Drosophila melanogaster: one gene and its partners. The protein of the gene in region 3 interacts with the protein of the main gene of each other region in a pairwise test. Each region holds a gene or a part of one and is shown on either strand. Other genes may lie near its edges.

The links.
Region 1: the proteins of Acbp1 (region 3) and Cyp6t3 interact in a two-hybrid assay, tested with the Drosophila melanogaster proteins (one large-scale study listed by BioGRID).
Region 2: the proteins of Acbp1 (region 3) and CG4586 interact in a two-hybrid assay, tested with the Drosophila melanogaster proteins (one large-scale study listed by BioGRID).

Annotation. Positions count from the first base shown.
Region 1 is NT_033778.4:12,188,524-12,193,493, reverse strand, and holds Cyp6t3 (cytochrome P450 6t3), read right to left. Parts: upstream 2,813-4,970; 5' UTR 2,808-2,812; coding exon 1,584-2,807; intron 1,523-1,583; coding exon 1,241-1,522; 3' UTR 1,058-1,240; downstream 1-1,057. Other genes in the region: CG8858 (uncharacterized protein), read left to right, coding at 1-921; Cyp6g2 (cytochrome P450 6g2), read left to right, coding at 3,132-4,403, 4,455-4,742. UniProt on the Drosophila melanogaster protein: May be involved in the metabolism of insect hormones and in the breakdown of synthetic insecticides.
Region 2 is NC_004354.4:6,967,868-6,973,322, forward strand, and holds CG4586 (uncharacterized protein), read left to right. Parts: upstream 1-2,050; 5' UTR 2,051-2,150; coding exon 2,151-3,109; intron 3,110-3,217; coding exon 3,218-4,292; 3' UTR 4,293-4,398; downstream 4,399-5,455. Other genes in the region: Setd3 (SET domain containing 3), read right to left, coding at 1-725; CG3040 (uncharacterized protein), read right to left, coding at 4,592-5,308.
Region 3 is NT_033779.5:8,161,001-8,164,977, forward strand, and holds Acbp1 (Acyl-CoA binding protein 1), read right to left. Parts: upstream 1,453-3,977; 5' UTR 1,326-1,452; coding exon 1,311-1,325; intron 1,238-1,310; coding exon 1,123-1,237; intron 1,064-1,122; coding exon 921-1,063; 3' UTR 796-920; downstream 1-795. Other genes in the region: Rbsn-5 (Rabenosyn-5), read left to right, coding at 1-427, 493-732.

The sequences.
Region 1 (4,970 bases), on a different chromosome or scaffold from region 3:
CGATTGAGGCTGATCAAACTCCTTCTAAGCGGTCTGCAAGGACGCACTTTTGAGGGCAAAGAGCGGCTATTGCAAGCTTTGGCCGCACTCACCAAAGGATTGGATCGGAACCATCAAATCTGTTCCAGCATTATCGACGCGGCCATGAGGGAAGCAAGAAAGAGGGAACCTGTTTACCGCACCATGGCCCTGGCTTCTCTTGGCGAAATTCTCGATCAACTGGAAGCGGATCGCTTTGAGGAAGTGTACAACATGAGCTGGAACCTGCTGGAAAAGAAGGAACTGCGCAAGGAGTCGGACGACGAGGACGAGCCCAACACCAGTCAGGAACTGTCTGCCGACGAGCGCAACAAGCGGGCTCAAACACTCAATCGACTAAAGGAGGTTGTGTGGGAGACACTGGGCAAATCCTGGCCGCGTCACTCCATCGAGACGCAGCACCGCTACCAACTCTTCTTTGCCGAAAACTGTACGAGCATTCTGGCGGAGAGCACTCGCCCAGTGCAAGTCAGTCTGCTGGCAGCACTCACTAAGTACATCGAAAGACTTCATGTCTTTGATGAGTCTGCTCAAGTGCCGGATTTGACTCAGATAAACCAGGAGAAGAAGATCAAGACAGAGGAGACGGCGCCAAAAACCCGAGAGGCCATTGTCGAGAAGATATGCACAGATGTTTTGGCTGCAGTTGCTCTTGCCGCTGGAGTTCCTCATTCCGGTTTGAAAAAGGAGGCGCTCAACATCGTTCTTATGCTGATCAAGCGGCTGAGCGGAAGCGGAAACGGAAACCAGCAGCCACTGAGGTTGATCAAGCAGAGCTTTGAATCGAATTTGGAAAAGTTCCAGCGCGATTCGGCGCCGGAAATCCGGTGTCGCATCAAGGACATCGAAGACAAGCTAAGCAAGTTGAATCCACAGAATTAAGTCATATTAATATAAGCATTTCAAGGATGTGTGTGTGGCCAAAAAATCTGCCTTGGGTAGATTTTATAAAAGGGGGTAAGCGTTAAAAGAAAACATCTAACTTTGGCAAAAATGAATAAGTAACTTGCATGAAGATAATTTTCTATTGTGATTCATTGATCCAGGAGTGTAAGGAAACCTTAAATATACTATCATAAATACTTTCAGTTTCGTTTTAAGTTCAAATTTTAGGGAGCTATTTAGATTATCTATTCTATTTAGATTATAGGAACAAAGGTGATTACATATCACAGCCGATTGTTTTAGGATGCCTATAACTCTACAAACTACTCCTGCAGAATCTTAGGTATATCTCATTCTCAGACTCCAACATGAAGGACTTTGGATTAAAGCGAATCTCCGATACTGTTCGCTCGCAAGTCTCAACCCAATATTGCTTTAAAATGTGCACTATGCCCAGTTTCAATTGGAGTACGCCCAGGCGACTACCAATACAGCCATGTGGACCTGCTCCAAAGGGTATGTAGGTCATCGGGTGGATGTGCCTAGATCGCTCCGGACCGAATCTCTCGGGATCAAAGACGCAGGGCTCCGGCCAAAACTGGAATTTAGATTGACATAAGTAAGTTGGGATAATCATCACCTTTGGTTTTAAATCTAACCCTTTCATCGCGATGGAGGCCGAGTATTGAGATGTATGCTGGCATCCCTGGTGGCACTATGAAATCCACATGCGGTTGCAGTGAGAATCCCTCGGATGCCGAACTGGTGCACTCTCTGTTGACGAAAGCAGCAGCCGGATAGAGACGCAGTGCCTCCAAACACACCATTTTGAGATAGGGCAAAGTCATCAGTGTGTCATAGCTTAGGGTAGCAGTGGAGATGAAGGCTTCTCGTAGCTCACTCCTCAGTCGTTCTTGAATATCCGGAGCCTTGGCCAACTCATAGAGAGTGAATCCCATCAGGGCTGAGGAGGTTTCAAATCCGGCCAGCAGTATGATACCCGCCTGCGAAGCAACAAAGTCCGGATGCTGGGAATAGTGGTTGGATGAGCGGCTCAACTGAAAGTGCTGCAATTGATTGATGAGATCTCCTTTGGTGGGCTCGTGATGATCATCTACCAAGTGCCTCATATAGCGCGCATAGTCTTCGGTAAAAACTTTGGGCTTCAGCACACCCGTCCACTTGGGCAGAAAGAATACACTCATGAAGTCCAAAACCTTGCGGGGATTGGTGTTAAATAGCTCCTTGGTTTTTGTTATCAACTCGGATCGACCACGACGCAATCCGCCGACATTCAGGCTGTAGAAGAGATTCCCCGTCACGTCGGTGGTGTACAACTGGCACATTCTTCCCAACGGGAGAACGCGCTCCAGCCGATCCCCCAGCTTCCTGTTGAGGTACTGCTCCAAGTCGCTGGCCACATCCAACATTTGGCTGTACATGACATCCCGCATACGGCCGCTGGTGAAGAGCTGGGACATGCATTGCCGACTCTCCTTCCAGTGATGGTACTTAGCCAGCGGTAGCGTCAGTGCACCCATGGGATCTCCGGCGTCCGCCGATTCGAACCGGTTGAGAAAGTTGTTGAAATTCTTAATCAACACCTGGCGGATTAGCTCCGGATCCCGAACCATAAGCGCCGGCGTTTGGAATATGAAGAAGCCAACGATCTTCGCCTGACCATTTCGTGGATCTGCGTAGAGCTGCCGAAAGAGATCGCCAAAAGAAATGCGCAGAAATAGAAGTTGTCCCAAATTGCCCATTGGTGACCAAGAGGAGGGTGGCAGGTGCGGAATCCCACGGCTCCTGAAGTAATCGTACTTGTGCCTTAACCAAAAATTCAGAGTCACAATGGTGAGCAACAGCAGCCAGATGAGCAGCATGGTGTCTATAAGATATAAGATAGAATATTATAACTATGAAATATATACCAGCATTAGGTAAAGATAGCTAAGATCCAAAAAGTCGTTCTTTTGAATGAGGAGGAGACCTTGTTCACGACCGTCAAGAAATGCATTTCCATATGCATAAGTTGAACCTGACCCACTTAACATCTCGACAAGCACTTCCATTCACAAATAGATTCATTCATTGCACTCAGGATCATCTTGATGATCTCATAGTAGAGTTTCCGCTTACCCAAAGCTTTAACTCTATGGTGCTGGCAATATTTCAGCCAGTTGGACATTGGGTTTGGTGGCGTTAGCATGGAACTGGTACTGCTGATCCTCGTGGCATCCCTAATAGGGATTGCCTTTCTGGCGCTGCAGCAGCATTACTCCTATTGGCGGCGAATGGGAGTACGCGAAATCAGGCCCAAATGGATAGTGGGCAACCTGATGGGACTGCTCAACATGCGAATGAGTCCCGCGGAGTTCATATCGCAATTGTATAACCATCCCGATGCGGAGAACGAACCCTTCGTGGGCATCCATGTGTTCCACAAGCCGGCGCTGCTTTTGAGAGACCCCGAAATGGTGAGAAATATCCTGGTCAAGGACTTCGCTGGCTTCTCCAACCGGTACTCGAGCTCCGACCCCAAGGGCGACCCTTTGGGATCCCAGAACATATTCTTCCTGAAGAATCCCGCCTGGAAGGAGGTACGTTTGAAGCTATCGCCCTTCTTCACCGGCAATCGACTGAAGCAGATGTTTCCCCTGATCGAGGAGGTGGGCGCCAGCTTGGATGCCCATCTCCGCCAGCAGCCGCTGCACAACGAGCGGATGCGCTGCTTCGACTTGGAGGCCAAGGAGCTGTGTGCTCTCTACACCACGGATGTGATAGCCACGGTAGCGTACGGAGTGAGTGCCAACAGTTTCACGGATCCGAAGTGCGAGTTCCGCCGCCATGGACGTTCTGTGTTCGAGTTCAACCTGCTGCGTGCCGCGGAGTTCACTCTAGTGTTTTTCCTGCCCCACCTGGTCCCGTTCGTTAGATTCAAGGTGGTGCCGGCGGAGGCCACTCGTTTTCTGCGCAAGACCATCAACTATGTGATGTCGGAGCGGGAAAAATCCGGACAGAAGCGCAACGATCTCATCGACATTCTCATTGAGTTCCGTAGGAGCACGCAGCTGGCGAAGGCATCGGGTATCAAGGATCAATTTGTGTTCGAGGGCGACATCCTGGTCGCCCAGGCGGTACTCTTCTTCACCGCCGGCTTTGAGTCCTCCTCCTCGACCATGGCGTTCGCGATGTACGAGTTGGCCAAGGATACGGACGTACAGCAGCGCCTGCGGGAGGAGATCAAGGATGCACTGGTCGAAAGTGGAGGTCAGGTGACGCTGAAGATGATCGAGTCACTGGAGTTCATGCAAATGATTCTGCTGGAGGTGCTGCGCATGTATCCGCCACTGCCGTTTTTGGATCGCGAGTGCACTTCTGGGAGGGATTACTCGCTGGCTCCGTTCCACAAAAAGTTCGTGGTGCCCAAGGGCATGCCCGTTTATATACCCTGCTATGCCCTGCACATGGATCCCCAGGTGGGTTGAGATACATTTTGCATACATTACCCAACGACTACCCTTTTCCAGTACTTTCCTCAACCGCGAAAATTTCTGCCTGAAAGATTCTCGCCCGAGAATCGCAAGCTCCACACGCCCTACACCTACATGCCCTTCGGCCTGGGTCCGCATGGCTGCATCGGAGAACGTTTTGGATATCTCCAGGCGAAGGTGGGTCTGGTTAACCTGCTGCGCAACCACATGATAACCACCTCGGAGCGCACACCCCATCGCATGCAGCTGGATCCCAAGGCCATCATAACCCAAGCCAAGGGCGGCATCCACCTACGGCTGGTTCGCGATGCTTTGGGCGTCTAACTCACCTGAATATGGGATATGGGATAATCTGGATACTTCTTTCCTGGGTGGTGAGACTATGGAGCCTACAACAACTGAATGGAAACTAAGCAGCGGAGTCGCGTGTTTGGGGATTTAAAATTGAGCTGGTGTCGCATCTTAAAGGCAATTTGATTGGCAAATTGCGTGTTCCATCGCCGGTGAATAGTGAATGCAATACTATCCATACATATATAATACATCTCCAAG
Region 2 (5,455 bases), on a different chromosome or scaffold from region 3:
CGCATTGCCAGAGCGGCTGCAGCGGTGCCCCGGAGGAGCTCCATCTGCTTGGTGGTAAAGTATAGCACGGTGTTGTATTTGGCAGGCAGAACATCAATGTAGGGCCGCCACTCGCTGAACTCGCCACGGATCTTCTCGATGACCAGATCATAGGCCAGGTTCAAGTGGGTGGCCTGCGTCATTTTGCCAAATAGGCGGCAATCGGAGTTGTTTTCCTCGGATAAGATGAGCTTCCGGGGCACGCTGAGCACCAGCTCATCCTTGGCCAACGGTCGGGTGGCCCGCAGACCCAGTTGGTAGCCGGGAAAGATGGCTATCTCCAGTCCCTCACTGTGAACTCCGCCATCTTTGGCCCACGCACTGAACGCCTCCACTTTGGCCAGACGGGTCTGATCGTCGGGGGAATCGCTGATCTGCGGACACACTGCTTGGCTGAGTGGCTCCTCCAGGATCATGATTTGTTTGAGCAGCTCCTGTAGCTGCCCGTACTGCTTCCATTCCTCGTTGGGATTCGCCGGTTGCTTTTCCACCAAGTCAAGCAGTTCCTCGACGAGCTTGTTTAGTTGGCTCCTCTTTTTGCCGTTTAAACTGGGCAACGAACTGGCCGCCTGCTGGTCCTCAAAATCCTCGACTGCTGTGCCGGATGCGGATGCAGTTACTCCGTTTTGTTGTGGCTGCTGTTGCTGCTGTTTTGTCTTCTTGTTGCGCTTCGTGTTCTTACCCATGGCGGTGCCGTTGGTGGGAGCGAGAGAGAAAGACAGAGAGAGAGGAAGACAGAAAGCTAAGCGGTACCGGCGGCCCAAAACAACAACAGCCAAATAAGGAAAATAAAGTCGAGAAATCTGCACGCGGGCGATCAGCTGGCCGGCAGTGTGGCCATTCGTCGGGCGCCACTAAATTACTCCGACAATTGGTCACACATTCGACGAGCTTTTATGCTGAAAACTTTTTAATAGGGGTACTCCTAAGCTTTTTTTTATTACAAAACTTATGTTTTCTTGTAAAATAAATTGTAATTCACGTTGCATTTTTGGCACATCAATAATATTATAATAATTACTCTTTATAGTTATTAAAATGGCCAGTGTTTTTTTATATTTTATGTTGCATTCTTGAAGAGCGGGAAATTTAAATTGAGAATTTGTCCTAAAATCCAGGTTGCAGAAGCTCGTATGTATAATAATATATTTATTTATTTATATAAATAAAATCGCTCTTTCCATGTCTTTTAGTTTCTATTTATAAACAATTTGACAATGGCCCATAGGGTTATCTTAGATTTTCTAAACGTCATCCAATTGAGAAACGTTATGTTGATAACAAGAAATCCACGAAATAAAAATGTTATTGTACGAAAAAGAAATAATTGTTTGTTGAGCTTTGTGGGTTTTTGCAAAACAAAAACAACAAGAAATATTTACGATTTTCTTATCTACGGTAAAAAAAACTTGAACTAAAAAACTAGGAGATAATGCCGCTCATCAGATGTTTACGCACTTTGTGCCATTTTTGGCTAGGGTGGACCAACACACAAATCAGCGTTTGAGTTAATAGTAAGAAACAAATTCCGTCCAAATATACAACCTAGGATACGAAATCTAAAACATGATAAGTGCATCTTGTAAGAAAGACGCAGTTTGAGAAACTTTCGACAAATACGGAATATGGTCCACCCTAAGGCGCTCAAGCAATTTGAGAGTGGCTCAGTTCTCAGTTCAGTGACTCCAATGCAGCAACAACGGCGGTTGGAGCACCAGCGGGCAGAGCGCGAAAGAGAGGCAGTGGTGGGGCTCCAAAGGCGTAGGCAGGATGGACCATCCAAAGGGGTTCCAGATCGCCTCTTCTGTATAAGTTATCCATAAATAGCTTATACACTGCATCCTTTATGAGTATAATGTGGTAAATGTATAAAGAATCCCGGTATATTAATTGGCAACTCATCTTTAATTTCGGATCACTGATAACCAACCATATTCCCCTGCTATCCCCGCCTTTGGTGACCTGGCTGCCATGTTTCGAGCTGCAGAACTGTTTCTTCCAGCCACCAACTTCTCAGTGCAATCGAGTCGTTCGAGCAGAGAAGTTGGGAAATCCCGTAGAAAAGTAAAACTCTAGGAAAAGAGAGATCGGGAAGGAGAGATAGAGCGATCATGTCTGTGAATGCGGATCTGCAGAGAGAGCGGGCGGCGGCCACCTTGGACAGCGAGGACTTTGCCCGCTGGTGGGCGGGTGGCTCTGGGCAGCTGGAGGAGCGCCGCGCCCTGGAAAGGCGTTTCTATGAGGATCCCGACTTCGCGGAGCCAGTGCATCCGAGCTGTCTGTCATACAAGGAGCGCTACGAACAGACCGTGGCCCGATCCACACGCTTCCTGGCCAAACTGCGCCAATGGCAGCGGGAGAAGCAGCCACAACTTCAGCTTAGTGTGAATATGCTGAGGGACTTTCGGCTGCTACTCTCCGGATCCCTGGGCACGGGCCTCTTCCAGCAGAGCTTCCCCCTTCGGGTGCATTTCTCCATGTTCATGACCACCTTGCTGAGCCAGGGAACCGAGGAGCAGCAGGCCCAGTGGCTCAATCGATCCTGGCACATGGACGGCGTCCTGGGCACCTATGCGCAAACGGAGCTGGGTCACGGCACCTTTGTCCGGGGCCTGGAAACCCGAGCCGACTACGATCCCATCACGCAGGAATTCATCCTGAACACCCCAACGCAAAGTTCATACAAGTGGTGGCCCGGCGGACTTGGTAATACCGCCAATGTGGCCATTGTGCTGGCCCAGCTATATGTGAAGGGCAAGCATTATGGCTTGCAATCATTTGTGGTGAGGATCAGGGACGAGAGGACACACGAACCGTTGACTGGAGTCGATGTGGGCGATATAGGACCTCGCCTGGGTGGCAATGGCGTTAACAACGGCTTTCTGGGACTCCGCGACGTGCGGATACCGCGCAATCAAATGCTGATGAAGAACGCCCAAGTCCTGACCGACGGCACCTTCGTCCAGGGTAGACCTCCGCTGCTGCTCTACGGCACAATGGTCTATGTGCGGGTAATTACCGTGAAGGATGTGCTCTTTGGACTGCTCCAGGCTGCCACCATTGCCACCAGGTGATTATATAGTTTCTGGGGATTATGTTTATCATAGCTGTTATTAAGCCCATAAAACACATTCAGCTCACCCAGGGTTCTTTAGATAATAATTATCATTATCTTTAGGTATTCCGTGGTGCGTCGCCAGAGCCGGATTAACAGCGATCAGCCGGAGGTCTCTGTTTTGGATCACATCACACAGCAGGCAAAGATTCTACCGCAAATTGCTCGAGGAGTGTCCTATCGCCTGGTATCCGATTGGCTGTGGCGCTTCTACGAGGACGTACTCCGCCAACTGGAGGATGAAAGCACGAAAGGACGCAACTCCCTGCCGGAGCTGCACGCCCTGAGCTGCTGCCTCAAGGCGGTGGCCACCGACGAGGCCAGCGAGGGAGTTGATCTGCTGCGCAAGAGTTGCGGTGGCCACGGATTCCTTTCCTCGGCGAATTTCGATAGCATCTATGGTCTGACCGCCGCCACATACACCTACGAGGGAGAGTACACAGTACTCCTGCTCCAGACAGCTCGTTTCCTCGTCCGGCAGTATGCGGATAGCTTAAAACGCAAGGTGCTGCCCTCCAGTGTCTCCTATTTGAGGGATACAGCCCGTTTGATTTGGGGCAAGAATCTGGTTGCGAATTGTGTGCGAGCGCTGGAGATTTCAGCCATGGAGCAGGTGCGTGATGCTTGGCAGACCCAGAAGATGCACCAATCCGGCAAGGTGAGTCCCGAGATGGCCAGCAATCTGGCTGGAAGGCAGCTCACCTCGGCTGCCATAGCCCATGCTCACGCATTCTTCACACGCAATGCACTGGAGCAAGTGGAAGCACTTCGAAAGAAGGGCGATCTTAGCCCGAATGTCTCACTCATCTTGGGCCAACTGGTTGAGCTTTTCGTCATCGATACATTCCTGCGACAGTCGGGATGCGTGCTGCGTTGGAACAACGGCATCACTGGCACCCAACTGCGCTTCGTGGAGCGTCGCTTTGAGGAGCTGCTGGCCAAGCTGCGACCCAATGCGGTGGCTCTGGTGGATGGATTCGATTTTCACGATCGTGTCCTGGGCTCCACGCTGGGGTGTCACGATGGCCGGGTGTACGAGCGTCTCATGGAGGAGGCACGCCGAAATCCGATCAACCAGGAGCCGGTCAACTCGTCCTTCCACAACCACTTGTTGCCCATGATGCGGGGAAAGCTGTGATGTGGGGCTGGTCTTTTGTTTTCTACATACGTATATGTTATTCACTAATTTTTGTATTGAAGTTGAATCATAACATTTTTTTTTAATAAAGGAAATAGGATTTCGCAATTGTTTGTTATTTTGCACTTACCATTTTCAAACTAACTTACTTGCTCGCCCTTGTTAAAGTTGTCTTTTTCCGATTTATTCGTATCGTTTTACACATTACACATATTGAATTAAGCTATTAAATTAGTTTACTCGGATAAATAAAGGCTGGGGTACACACAAAAAAAAAAGGGATTTGATCTGAATCGAGTCTAGAACATCTTCTTCCTGACCGCCGTATACCGCTCCATGTAGACATCGTAGCCATCGAGATCGGTGAACTGTTTCGAGTTGAACAGATTGCCGTCGACGGCCAGGTTGCAGATTTTCGAGTCCTTGAGGATCTTGGGTGTAAAGGCCGCTGCCTGAAGGCAGTTCTCCTCGAGCCGCAGTGTCTTCAGCTTGGGACAATCGGCTACTTCCTCCGCCAGCGAGGATATTTGGTTCTGGTTAAGGTTCAGTTCGGTCACAAACAGTCCGCCCACATCGGCGGGCACATCGGTGATCTTGTTCCTGGACAGGTCCAGGACATCCAGCTGCTTCAGACCGCACAGCATGGAGGGGAACTCCTTCAGCTGATTGTTGCTCAGATTCACGGTCTTCAGGTGCGTGCAATTGGCCAGGGTTTTGGGCAGCCTTGTCAGCATATTGTCCATCAGCAACAGCACCTCCAGCTTGGCCAGTTCGCCCACCACCTCGTTGAGTTCCACCAGTCGATTTCCGCTTAGATTGAGGTGCTTGAGTAGCGTCAGCTTGCCCAGTTCGTCGGGCACACGTTCGAAGCGATTCTCGGAGAGATCCAGGGTTTTCAGGACATTCGGGTAGGCCCTTAGCTGCAGTGGGAATTCTTGCAGCCGCTGCAAGGATATCTTCAGGATTCCCGTCTTCTGGGCCGTCTCCAGTTGTTGTTTTATCTGTTTATTGCCCATTGTAGCAGGGGTCTCTCCAGGGAATTCAAGGTTTTTCGCCTAATTAAGAGGTGGGCGGGTCGACTGATGACAAATCCAGATCTCACACTCTTCCTGCGCGGTATGTGTGCTCCGCTATCCTCGTTGTGCTTGCGTTTTACAGCAAAC
Region 3 (3,977 bases):
AGAAGTTACCCCGGATCTGGACATGTATCTAAAGATCATCAATAGCTTGAACGAAGGGGACACAATCTTCACGTTGGCGGATGCAGGTGCTTTGCGCGGCAAGATTGGACAAGTGGCAGAGGCCATGGACATGAGGAGCAAGCGCATTCTAGCCATATTTTGTGAACCAGGCAGCCGGGAGGAGGCATTAAAGAAGGCCATTCGGTTGGGCTGCATCCAAGCCATCAAGGAGCGAATGTTATCGCTGCCCCCACTGCCAGAGGAATCGCACATACGCCAGATGCAGGAGCGTAGACGCATGGAAACGGAGCAGCGTATCCTCACCGAACAGCGCATGGCCATGGAAGCCTACGAACGAAATAACATGGCAGCTAACCAATCCAACGTTGGAGTTCCTGGTCCGGAAAGCGGATCCTTTGCCCAAGGGGTATGTAGACGAGGACTCTCTGCAAAGATCAATATGTAACCTCTGTGATTCCATTTGCTTCACAGTCTGATCTTCAATCTCTGAACAACTGGTCAGCACCGCAGGCGGCTAGCAAGTCCAGCCTGGACGATCCGCTGATCGAGCAGATAAACATCATTAAGGGCTACATCAAACAGGCTCGCCAGGACATGAACTTTGAGGTGGTGGAGACGCTGGAGCTAAATCTTCGCGAGCTACAGCGCGAAGTGTACGAGCGACAGCGCCAGTCCCAGGGAAGCACCGCCGCCTCACCCACAGAGGCCTAAGCAGTATCCTACATAGTTAAATGTATATTCATTCCCTCTATGACAAATTACATGGCTTACGTTACGTTACGAATTTGTGGTGTATATTGTGCGAAAAATTTTAGTTTGTGCGAAGTTTCTGTAAATCAAAGTTTGTGCGTTTGACGACAACTGAGACTATAAAATGCAACATCCTATTTCGATTGAGTCTATGACTTCAGGCCAACGGCAGCGATCAGTGCCTTGACCTTGGTAATGTAGGCGGCCTGGGCGTCGGTATTGCTCATTCCCTTGCGGTTGTTCCACGCCTCCCACTTGGCCTTGCCCTTGAAGTCCAGAAAGCCGGGCTTATCTGCATTGGATTAGAATTATCGATGGTGCAGCGGAGTGACGACTATGTCCGAGACCCACCTGTATTGCAATCCCCCACAGTGGCCTGTTTGTACAAGCTGTAGAGCTCCAAAAGGTCATTGTCCCCGGGTGTGGTGTTTAGGTTCTTAACATCTTCGGCCGCCTGGTTGAATTCCTGTTTAGGTTAAGTTTGAATAGGTAATCAGACTTTAAGATACGAATGCGTATTTGACGTAGATTCAGTTCACCTGCAATTCGGACATTTTTGTATCTATTTTTTAACTAGTGGAAGTCTTTGGAAAAGAAATTGCACGATTTTACTTCACCGAATCTATCGGCGTCTATCGATATCTGGTCTATACTTTTGTGTGACCAACAGTTTTTCAATTTAGAGTGGACAAGCTGTTGCGTTTTATTTCGCGGGTCTGGCAGCCTATACACTTAAAAGATTCGAAGTCTAATTTCATATTGAGAACTGAGATACATTATTACGATGATAGTTAGGAACATGTGTAACAGTTGGTAGACAGTTTCTTGCCAAAACAATTGTGTTTTGAAAAAAGCTATGGAATAATATGAACAATATCCAAAATAGTCCGTTAAGATTTTCAAGACATTAACGAAATATTTTAAAAACCTTCCAATGTTGATTGTCTCAATTGAACATCTTTCAGCCCACTGTCCTGCTCTCTCCAAATGTGGCAACAAAAATGAGAGGCTTATGGCGCGTGAAACATGATTTCTATTAGTAACATATGGAGTAATGATGTGCTGTACGTCAACGTTTTGAACAGTTGTACATAGTAATTAAAATGTATCAATATTAAGAGGAAATTTAATATATAACTACTTCTTAAATACACAAAATACAATTGATTTCTAGCATATGTGGCCATATTAGACATCATCAATACATGAATTTAACTCATTTCATGATATGACACCCGCATAAACGCATTGTGAGAGCGGGAGAGCGTGGGTATTTAAGGAGAAGGTAGCGCTAACCACTCATTCAGTTCGAAATGTTTTCATCTGCGTTGGTCGTGCGTCCGGTGCTCCGCTAAAAGTAACAAAAAGTGCACAAATTGCCGGGAGAAAATGTTACATTAACGATATTTTCGGTTAATGCTGAGCACACGGATACGGATACTACGCTATATACGCAGTTCGCAACCAAAATCGATGCAATACGCGGATTTGGGCAAACACAACGCAGTGCCTGTAAAAATCGAAGCCGAAACGAAACAATAACAAATGCGCTAAAGTTCTTACCAAATAATTTGCACCGTCAGAAAAAGAGTGGTGAAAAGTGGTCAAAAGTGATCGAAAAGATCTGAAAAGTTCGTTAAAATAAAGAAAGTGTATGGTTAAGTGTGCGTTCCTGGTGATAAATCGGTAAAAATCGTTCGCTTTCGTTTTTGTTGTGGTCGCCGTTCGCAGAGCTTATGCAAATGTGGTAAGACACCGTGGAACTTGGCCATATTTTCTCTGTTTTGCTCGACTCCGAATGCCTAGCAACTCGATAAAAAGGGCGCTAAATAGCTGAAGCTGAAGGTCTTTCGACTCGTCAAACAAATTCGAGATTCACAAATAACAAGTGTGAAGAGCAGGCAAACAAGAAAACCAAACGCATTTGATTTCCCATTCTGATTTCCCGTGTTCTAGTTCTTTGTGTTTTTCTCACTTCTCACTTCCCCCTCTCCATCTCTTTCTGCCCCGCTGGCTTTTGTTTGACTTTCCTGGCCATAGCCCGATCACGCCATCTCGCTCGCACACCGTGTATTTTCAGCTGTTGATCTATTTTTAATTTCATTATCGCGTACTGCAAGTTTTTTAAATCCGTTTCTGTGTCAATTAGTTTGAGGAATTAGCGCAGGCACGGAAAAGCGTCAAATCAGCGCAAATAACTTTCATTTATTTACATTTCTCTGCCGCGATAAGCGTTTCAGTAGTAAACCCCTTTCATTTAACAAGTATTTACTTTCAAGTGCGGCGATAACACCACTAGAAGTTAACCCATTAGCGGTCAGATAACTCATGGTCATGGATGAACGCTTAAAACGCGAGTCATAATCATAAGTCAGATGGGAGTGGAGAACAAAATATTAGTACAAAAATATACATATATACTGAACAGAAGTTTCAAGTTTTTTTTACCGGATGTCCCTTTGCTCATCCAAGCTTTATAATAAGTTTAGTTTCGTAAATAAATAAATGTTTTTTTTTTTTTTTTAATGTTTCTAATATTTTGATAGCAGCTGCGTTCTTGCTTTGGGGATTAAAAACTGGGCTTTAGTCTTATCAGTCTTAGGTTTTGAGCACATGGCACTGCTGTTTGTTCTTTTGGGGCAATGTACATACATATGTAAATAAAGGTGTTTGTTTATTATTTACATACTTCAATTTTAAGCCGGCAGCACATGACTGCGTTTAAAATAATCATTAAAATCAAACAATTGCATACACATTAAATGCATGTTTGAGCTGATAGTAATGATTTAGATTTCTTTGCATCATGTTATTATCTACGTGGGTCTCATTTGTATTTGACAAACGGAAATGTTACCTCATGCTTTGAAATACTTTTAAATACATATTTCGTTTTGACTCACTTTTGAATGAGGCATTGCATCCGATTTGGTTTTGGCTTTGGTGTCGCTTGTTGCGTTCCCAGATATTTATTTGCAATCAATAAATGACGCATTTCGTTGGGTGGGACACACGACTATCGCCAGTCTAGACCTGTGGCATTATCATCGGCTTGGGAATCTGAATGTATTTGCTGTTTGCTTTCTCAATGAAACACTAATTCCAGATGCTGCCGATGACTTCATGAATATTTTTAAAAATTACCTATTTACTCAATTATTATCATGTAATTGCCCCTTATGTTTGATTTCTGATCAGATCAATGA